Oryzias latipes: one gene and its partner. Each later gene encodes a partner of the first gene's protein in a complex. Links are inferred from orthologs where the notes say so. Each region holds a gene or a part of one and is shown in the gene's direction. Other genes may lie near its edges. The genes, in order: cnnm3 and protein tyrosine phosphatase type IVA 3.

The links.
Region 2: the proteins of cnnm3 (region 1) and protein tyrosine phosphatase type IVA 3 are in contact, whole or in part, in a crystal structure (PDB 5TSR), measured with the Homo sapiens proteins. The link is inferred for Oryzias latipes from reciprocal best matches to the Homo sapiens genes CNNM3 and PTP4A3. Residues at the interface, in NP_060093.3 of Homo sapiens: Ser357, Asn358, Phe394, Asp396, Lys418, Val419, Asn421, Glu424, Gly425, Asp426, Pro427, Phe428, Tyr429; in NP_001425170.1 of Homo sapiens: Asn5, Pro7, Asp72, Gly73, Ala74, Val105, Ala106, Leu108, Gly109, Arg110, Arg137, Arg138, Gly139, Ala140, Ile141, Asn142, Lys144, Gln145.

Annotation. Positions count from the first base shown.
Region 1 is NC_019870.2:1,782,086-1,786,621, forward strand, and holds the start of cnnm3 (metal transporter CNNM3), read left to right. Parts: upstream 1-1,566; 5' UTR 1,567-1,916; coding exon 1,917-2,576; intron 2,577-2,649; coding exon 2,650-2,984; intron 2,985-4,536. UniProt on the Homo sapiens protein: Probable metal transporter.
Region 2 is NC_019874.2:10,484,447-10,488,693, forward strand, and holds the start of protein tyrosine phosphatase type IVA 3, read left to right. Parts: upstream 1-1,211; 5' UTR 1,212-1,360; intron 1,361-1,442; exon of another isoform or gene 1,443-1,534; intron 1,535-1,857; exon of another isoform or gene 1,858-1,986; intron 1,987-3,339; 5' UTR 3,340-3,789; intron 3,790-4,247. UniProt on the Homo sapiens protein: Protein tyrosine phosphatase which stimulates progression from G1 into S phase during mitosis. Enhances cell proliferation, cell motility and invasive activity, and promotes cancer metastasis.

The DNA of each region.
Region 1 (4,536 bases):
CTGTAATTGGGAATATCATTTTTAAGTCTTATAAAACACTACAAACTAAATCATAGAACTCATCAGTGGGATTACTTCAAAAATATTTGATATTTTCCTAATTCTGTGCAACACCAACAGTAAAAATCCTCCAAAACACCTCAAAGCTAATAATAAACAACTGATCCGTTGTTTCTTTATCATCTCAAAAAGTGCAGCTTTTTTGCTGTCTGCATTACGTTCTGTCTTTATATTAAATACTGACACCAACTAAACCACAGGCAGACGTAAAAAATACATTTTATATGGAAAATAAAGACACGTAATAAAATGTCTCCAATAGTTAATAAATAATGGCATTATCTAGGATAGCACAAGGGTTAAATTTGCGCTCCGGGCAATTGCCCATACTTAAAACCGCTACTGGGTGCAGATGTAGAGCGGTCTACCTCTGATCGCAGGTTCAGGTCCCACCCTGACCGCCCATCATCAGTGTCCCTGGGGAAGACACTAAACCATACGTTCCTGCTGGTGGTCGTAGGTTGGCACCATTGTTCGACAGCGGAGCTGCTATCAATGGGTGAATGGGAATGTGACTTTAAGGCTCCTTGGGCCTTGAGGAGATGGCAATGCGGCATATAAGTTACGCCATTTAAGTTTGTTTTAGATTTTTAAAGACCCATTCTGATGAAATTGTGTTTATGGCGTTTTAATCGTGTTCTTTTCCGATGATGGAGGGCATGGATAAAGAAAATTTAGCTCAAAACTGTATTTCTTTCTTCAAATCATTGTAAATCAGGAGCAGGCGGAAAAATGTAGGTAGATAGTATAGTATAGAGATACAGATACTATCTGTGACATAGAAAATACGCTGGGTGGGGCCACAAGTTCCCTGCTCCGCCCCATTCTGATGCAGACAAATAATTCTATGTGGGTCTCGGCTTTTCTTGCTGGCATCTGGATCAAAACTGGCTCCAATATTGCTCTGCATTTTGGTTGCACAGCTGTTGGGTTGCTGGTAGGATGGGTTATAGGAGTGTGTAATCCGAGAGCTCTCAGGTACAGGGAGGGGAAGGAGGCAGGGTTCCTTCTTGCCAACAGCCCCGCCCACAACTCAGAAGTGAATTTCTAATGAACTCCTGCCGCTCTGCAGAAACTATGTCCTAGAAAACCACAGATTTGTTTGCTATATACAGCATAATCACAATTAAATGACCACTGGGAACATTTTACAATAGATCAGAAATTGACCAGAGTGGGACTTCAATCAATTTCATGGACTGCTTTTATCGTTTTTGTTTATTAATGTGGATGTGTGGTGGATTGTTGATTAATTATTAAGTAAAGCACTTTAAGTTGATGTACAACTTGAAAGGCCCCTATAAATAAAGTTACATTTGAATCTCGACTAGAAAGCGTGGAATAGTGGAGGAAAAAACACTTTCTGATACATTTTTGGTTATAACTTGTAGAGAAAGCTGAGGCAGAGAGTGAGGTGACTTTGGCTGAGCTTCTTTGCGTAGACAGAGAGCAGAGGCCCGCGTGTTCGGACGTGTCAAAAATGTTCTTCACGGTTTAGCAAGCGCTGAGTCTCAGCAAGCGCGAGGGCTCTTCTCCCGCCCACACTTCCCGCCCCTTCCCTGTCCGGCTTCTTCGCGCTCTGATTGGCTGGAGGAGGCGTCCGCAGCGGAGGCTTGTTTTTGTCGAACACAGATGGATGGGAGCTTCTGCTACGTCACAGGGTGGGCGGGGGGGAGGGCTTTCCAAAACAAAAACATTGCGAATCCAGATCCAAAATGGACGCCGTTCCCCCACCGAAGCACAGCTACCGGAGCCAACATGGCCGCTGCGCCGCTCAGTTTCACTGCTGAGATGGGCGGGCCGCTTTGAAGTTGAAGTCACGTGATTCGCACAGGGCCGTGTTGACCCATTCCAATATGGTGGCCAGCCTGGCTCAACGGTTTCTGTTGATGCTGTGGTTCTGCGGGGTCAGGCGCGGCACCTGCGGCGGCGAGGACCCCCACATTCTGGGGCTGCGGGTGGAAGACCCCACGGGAGCGGTGAGCATCAAAGACCGGATCATCTCGGTGCCTGAAGGAGCTTCGTTCCAGCTTCGCCTCTTCGGGGCCAACCTGAATGGAAACGGGACGTTGGTCGCGTTCGCGGCGGGGTTCGGAACCGCCGAGGACCCGTGCGGTTCCGACAGCAGCCGGCTGGAGTCCGCCTTCAGGGTGACGGAGGAGTTCAGCCAGGACGAGGTCCACAGCGGGGTCCTGACGGTCACGGCGAACCGGAGTATCCCCGCGGGCGGGGACACCTTCTACCACCTGTGCGCGCGCAGCGGGGAGACGTGGGCGTCCGTGACCCCGGACAGACTGCGGGTGATCCCCGGCGCGGCCGCGGGTTCCATACCGCCGTGGGGTCTGGCGCTGCTCGTCGCGCTGCTGCTTCTGCTCTGCGCGCTGCTGAGGACGCTGCACCTCAGCCTGCTGGGGCTCGACCCTGTGGAGTTGTACGTGCTGCACAGCTGCGGCTCCGAGGAGGAGAAGCGGGCCGCCAAGCGGCTGGAGCCGGTCCGGAGGAGGGGGAACTTCCTGGTGAGTGTGTGTGGGGGTTGGTGAGGAAGATGCTGGTCTGTTGGCCTTCGCTCAACCCGCCTCTTCTGCGCAGGCGTGCTCGCTGCTGTTCCTGTGCGTGCTGGGACACTCGGTTGTGGGGGTGCTGCTGTACCGGGCTCTGGGCTGCATCGCCTCCGCCGCCTTCACCGGGGGCTTCCTCATCTTCCTCCTGGCCGAGCTGGCCCCTCACATCCTCTGCTCGGGGTACGGTTTCCAGCTGGCGCCCGGCCTGACCTGGCTGGCCCAGGTGTGCATGGTGCTCACCTGCCCTCTGTCCTGCCCCCTGGGGCTGATCCTGGACCTGGGCCTGCAGAGGGACATCAGCACCAACTGCATCAGCGAGCGGGTCTTGGAGATGGTCCGTACCAGCGTCAACGACCCCTACAGGTAAACCGGATCCCATTTGAGGTCCGAATTCTGAGACCAGGTCACCCGGCCGCTGATCAGGACGCTCTGGGCGACCGTGAGGAGGGGTGACCCTCCAGCAAAACCAGAACCGTTATCGGCACTGGAGTTGGAGGCCAAAAAAACATCATAAGAACGTAGTAACCATGACGATGAGACACAGCAACTCATTGAAATGCGGTTTGGATTAGAACATCTTTTAACGTGATCCACATTACTTCTCGCTGTTTTTCTATATGTCATGAACATGAATCAGTGAACCTTCATTCCCGACGTCTCCATAGTAACCACCGTGCAGCACGCCTCCATCGTACCACAGCAAAAAGGGTTCAACCTGACCTTGATACAGACGTTCAAGTTGTAAAGTTTGAATCGGTGAACTGTCCTGACAAGACTGCAAAGAACAGGACGGCCATCATTTCTGTCTGTAGTTGCTTTGCCCCGCCTTCAAAATTCCTGACCAATGACTGAAGAGATCTTTAGTCATGTGGTTTTCTTTACAAGCTTTGGTTCGAAACGGGAAAGTTTCTAGTTTGAATGCAGCCTTAAAGATAGTTTAGGTCTAGTCCTGAAGACAGAAGTGGCTTCCACAGAGGAGGAGCTTAATAACCGATGCTCCGCCTTCATTTTAGTTGAGTACATTCTAGAAGCAGCAGGAAAATCTGGAACTGTTTCAGAGAAAAGACAGAGCTGTACATTTAATTCCAGCTCCTCTGGGATCTTCAGCAGAATCTGGATCCACTTCAGACGGTGTCTTCGGTTCTGATGGAACCCAGATCCTTCAGAACGGAACCGATGTCCTCAGAGAAGTTCTCTGCTGATGACTTTTCACATCTTCAGGATTGTGAGATCTTTTGGCATTCCTGTGAACCTCTTTGGGGGTGCATCTCGCCTGAAGGTGTGCTCCACGCCATCGGTTTCATGCTTGGCGCTCCAGATCCGATCAGGAAACTGGGAACACTCTAGAGCAGTGTTTTTCAACCGGTGTGCCGCGGCACACTAGTGTGTCATGGGAAATGACCCATTCGCTGATCTAAAAACATTTCCCATCTCCAGGATATCAGCTCTGTGTTCATCCAAAAAACCCTGATAAAACACTGAGTAGTTAGGAATACGAAAGATCATAAAATACTTTTTTCTCTGTGCTTATTTGATTCTATTGAAGACATTTTGATAAGAATGATGGTACTGCGATTTAGCCGTAGCGTCAGCTGTTTTCTGAAAAGTCCCGCCCCTTTAACTGTCTCCACCAATCATTCTTGGAGGCTTAATCACACGTCATCAGTCTGACCAATCAGAAGTGGTTAAAGTCTTCACTTCCTTGTTCAGATTCTGCTCATAACGTCTCTCAGTTCCAACTAAAATACCAGCTAAAGTTCGTCTTTAGTGGTGTAGCTTTCCACAGAATCCAGTGTCAGACCGTGGAACAAGTGAACAACACCATGAAGCTCAGAGACGAGAATCTGTCTTCCATTACTACATCTCCCATGATGCATTGGGTTAAAGTGACAGCGTCTCAGCGCACAATGAGTCT
Region 2 (4,247 bases), on another chromosome or scaffold:
TGTTGGTGCTAAACACATCTTGGGATTATAATATATTTATATGTTATCAGAGCTACAAAGCTGACTGTCAACAGAAAAGTGAAAAGTGGGGCAAGAGGGCACCATCACACAGCATCGAGACACTTCCCTCCATAATATGTGTGTGTGTGTGTGTTTAGTGTTCTTCACTTAGACAGTAATATGACAAACTGGAAACACCTTCAGCACAGCTTCAGCTAATTTTAGCCAGTAAGAGATGGTTTTCAAGCCTTGAGAGTCATGTTAACCTCCACTCAAAGTGATTGATAGTGACCTGAGGCCCCAGCTAGATCTGCTTTTAAAATACCTGTGCTTGCAGTGAACACTGTGTGATTCTCTCCACATACCCAAGACTTCACTGAAAAACACGATGACTGAGGCACAGTCGTAACATTTCAGTAACTTTAGATGGTAAACAAACAAACAAGCTTTGGACTATTGTGTCTTGGAGAGAAGGTTAAGTCCATTAACCGAGGCTCAGTGATTTCACTCGTACAATCTGTCTGGTAACTCAAAGAAGCATCTATTTTTAGATTTAGGAAGGGGAAGGACCAAAGCAAGGTGAAACAAACAAGAGAAAGTGACAAGGCAGAACACAGGACTGGACTCAGATGCAGAGCTTAAGGATTTAATTTCTTGAATCAAGAGAAGAGCTAGCTTTGGCAGGTGAAAGCACATGACAAACAGGCACAGGACAAAGGGAAACACAGGCTATAAATACATGAGGAGGGGAGGCACAGGTGGGAATGATCAGGGATGATGAGGCAGACACAGGTGTGGGGAGCAGACACAGCAGGAAGGGGAAGGTCTGGAACGAGAGGTAGGTTAGACTTTCAAAACAAAACAGGAAACCCCACACGAGACAACAGGAAACTTGACGAGACATGACAGAAAGTCCAGTCAAAGTAACAATTTTTTGAGTGATGTTTGACACCTGTGGGATACAAAAGCATCGTTCTTTGTTAGATTTTTGTTTTATGCGGCGGATGTGCTGCATGTAGGCTTATAATGTGGTATCATTAGTTTATTTGGGAGTGAGAAGTAATTAAAAAAAGGGGGAAGTGTAAGACTTCTTTCTTTAAGGCAGAAAAGAAAAGCATTACTGGAAAAGATATGAGAAGGGAGGGAGCGTCGCGGCTACCCGCCTCTCTTTCTAAGAGCATTAACTCTGGGGTGTTCTGATGGTGACGGGGCTTGTCAGGGTCAGATGGCTGCTCAGCCTGATTAAACCAGCTCAGTCAATCCTCAGCTCGCCACTCGGCTCTGCTGCAGCAGAGAGGACCTGGATACAGGCACATGCCACATTAGTGACCACCAAACTGGACTGAAGTGACTGGGAAAGGTGAATAGTTTAATATTCTAATGGAGAAAGCTGCCTCCAAAAGGCTCCACATTCTGTTTTTTAGACTGCTATTTTCGCTGCTTTACAGAGGAGAACTCTAAAATTAGATTTAGTTTTAATGTGGCAGAGCTGAACTTAATTTTGAGTTTGGAGAGGACACCAAAGAGCTAAGTGGTAAGGAGAAGCACTTTTGTTTGTTTAGTAACTGGTTCCCGTTCCCCCATATTAGTATGCCTATCAGATTCTGCAATTTAAAAAAAATAATTTGATGGATAAATACCTGCGGTAAACATTTAAAGAACTGCAAGAGATTGCTGTTACTCTAATCACTGGACTTGTCTGGAGCAGGCAGACGACAGGAAGATAGGAGTGTGCTTGCACTGGAGACAGTTGTTCCCTCAAAAAAACAAACAAAAAAAAAAAAAACTGATGTGTCACAGAATCAGCTGCTAGTATGGATGGAGCTATAAATACCGGTAGGGATTTAGTGTCTATGGCGGTTTACTATAACAGGCAGTCAGCTGGTTGCATATCAGCACTTACACTGTTGTGGGGCTGCTGCTTCTGCAGGACTTTGGTGTAACTGCTTGTCGGTGTTTTTGATTTCCCTTTTCAACAGCCGAGGGGTAAGAGAGAAACTTGATTTAATTAGATTTTTAATATTAAACATCTTCTTTGAGCTTGATGTCAGTATAGGTTTTGGCTGGTGTGCAATTTATCCAATCAGAACTTTTGATCGGTAGAGTTTGTTGTCATTCACCCTTTAGTTTGAAAATATTATAGATTTCGTAAGACCATTTGAAAACATGCACTTAGATCAATGCTTTTATGTCATTGTGTGCTGACCAGGCCTGGATGTGGCCAACTTATTTTACTCAGATTCAAAGTTTGGAAGGACATCTGAACATCTTTTCTTTCTATGCAGACTTTGTCTGATTCAAGTGTCTTCCATAAACATAATTTGACAGAAAAACAGAATTATTTGTTCTTTTGATTTTCACAGATCGGTGAAATTTGTTGCTTCAAAGTTACTTGCTCAGTTTTTTTTTTAAAAGAAGTAGGAAATGACCAAACTTGTTACTTCTGTCTTGATTACTGGCAGCACATTTAGCTAATTATAGATTGTCAACAAGCCGGTTCAGACCACAGTCCTCTTGAAAGGAGAAGGAGTGAGTCTGTGTGTCAGGGGTGACCACAGATTATCTCCTGGCTTTTTACTGCTTGATTTTCTGAGGATTTGAACACATTAGTGAGTAGAGGGTGAAATCTTTGACTGAGATCATAAATCCTTGGTGTCCTAATCTCAAAGAGTCATAAATCTCAATCCTGTGTCCCTAAACTAGATAAATTTAGGGTTAAAAGCCCAATATTGATGTTTATGGGGATGAAATTCTTTCATCTTGATCATTTAAAAAGTTGCATGACAACATGTCCAAAACATCTACAAAAAATGTTTTAATAACATGCAAATACAATTCTGTGTTGTATTTTTTTGGGTTCTTCAATACATATTAAGTAAACACAAAAGGGTTTTTGAGATTAGATGTTTTACTTTGCCCTAGGATTAACCAAATGTGTTATTTGTATACCTATTCCTTTTTTACAGTTGATCACCTATTCGCTTGTTTTTATGTATTCAAGCATTAATTGGAAATATTGGATAAAATAAGTCATGGTCCTGGAACATACAGATTAATCATGTCAATAATGTCTGAACAGCTTCTTCATTTTGCAAGTCTTGTCATTTGAACATTTTATGTGCGAGTCACACATTTATTTACTTGTAAATATAGGCTGACAACATTCCTCTGAGGAAAACAATTGAAATATTTTTTAAATCAACATAACCTTGTTTAAAATGCTGGAGGTCACTATGTTTGTGTTTTTTCAGCTATTTCTGCCACTGAAGTAGAGGCCTTGTTTAAAATATCGCACTTCTAAATCACTATTAATTTGTTCATGTGTGTTTTGTGTTGCAGAACCGCTGGTTGATGGAGTTTGTGCGGCAGAGTGGTGACTATTGCCATGCTCAACACATTTAGACCCTGTCTGGAATGATGCAGCGCCATACAGTCCTGGGGTCATGAGCCCTGGAAGACCACTGAGCCTTACCATCTAAAACTGACTGCTCATGGGTTAACAAGTGGAGCCTTATCACAGACAACGTACTGGAAAGAAGAGGAAAGAGTGTGACTGGGAGAATTTAAGAAAGTAAATAAAAAACACTGACAATTGCAGAGCTTAAAATTCAGCTGATGCACAGTAGTGTTCTAGATCACAGGATACAGTCAACGGATGGGAGAACGAGCCGAATAAAAGGGCTACAACTCTGGGAAATTACATAATTTTATTATCAAAATCCTACGCCAGGCTCACCCGGAAGACAATTCTGAAGATACAGCAGTCAACTGCGACAGCTGGAACTAAAGGTGAGGAAAGACAGTCACAAGATCTGCTATTCCACTTGCTCGTGGTACTCTTGAAAGGTCAGAGCTTACTTTTAGAATGTACATTTGTAAGGCCCCAAACCAGAAAGAACAGTCTCTCTAAACTTCTTAATGGAAGAAAAATTTACAAAATAAAAGGCAATCTTGGAAAAAAAATCCCTGTCAGAATAGAATAAAAATATTAAAAAGATTTCAATCAAATAGAATTTATAAAGAAGGCGCAGCAGCAGTTAGTTAGTTCATTTAATTCTGTATGCAGCCCTGTGATCTGGCGATCTGCCCAGGATAAAATCAGCCAGTAGTCCAATTACTGTCCACCCCTCCAGCAACCCTCAACACGTCTGGATTTAAAAAGGTGGATGGCTGCAGATCAAGGAGTCTGTCCCTATGGACAGAAAAAAATACTCTGACATTTGTAAATACAAAACCTACAACTAAAT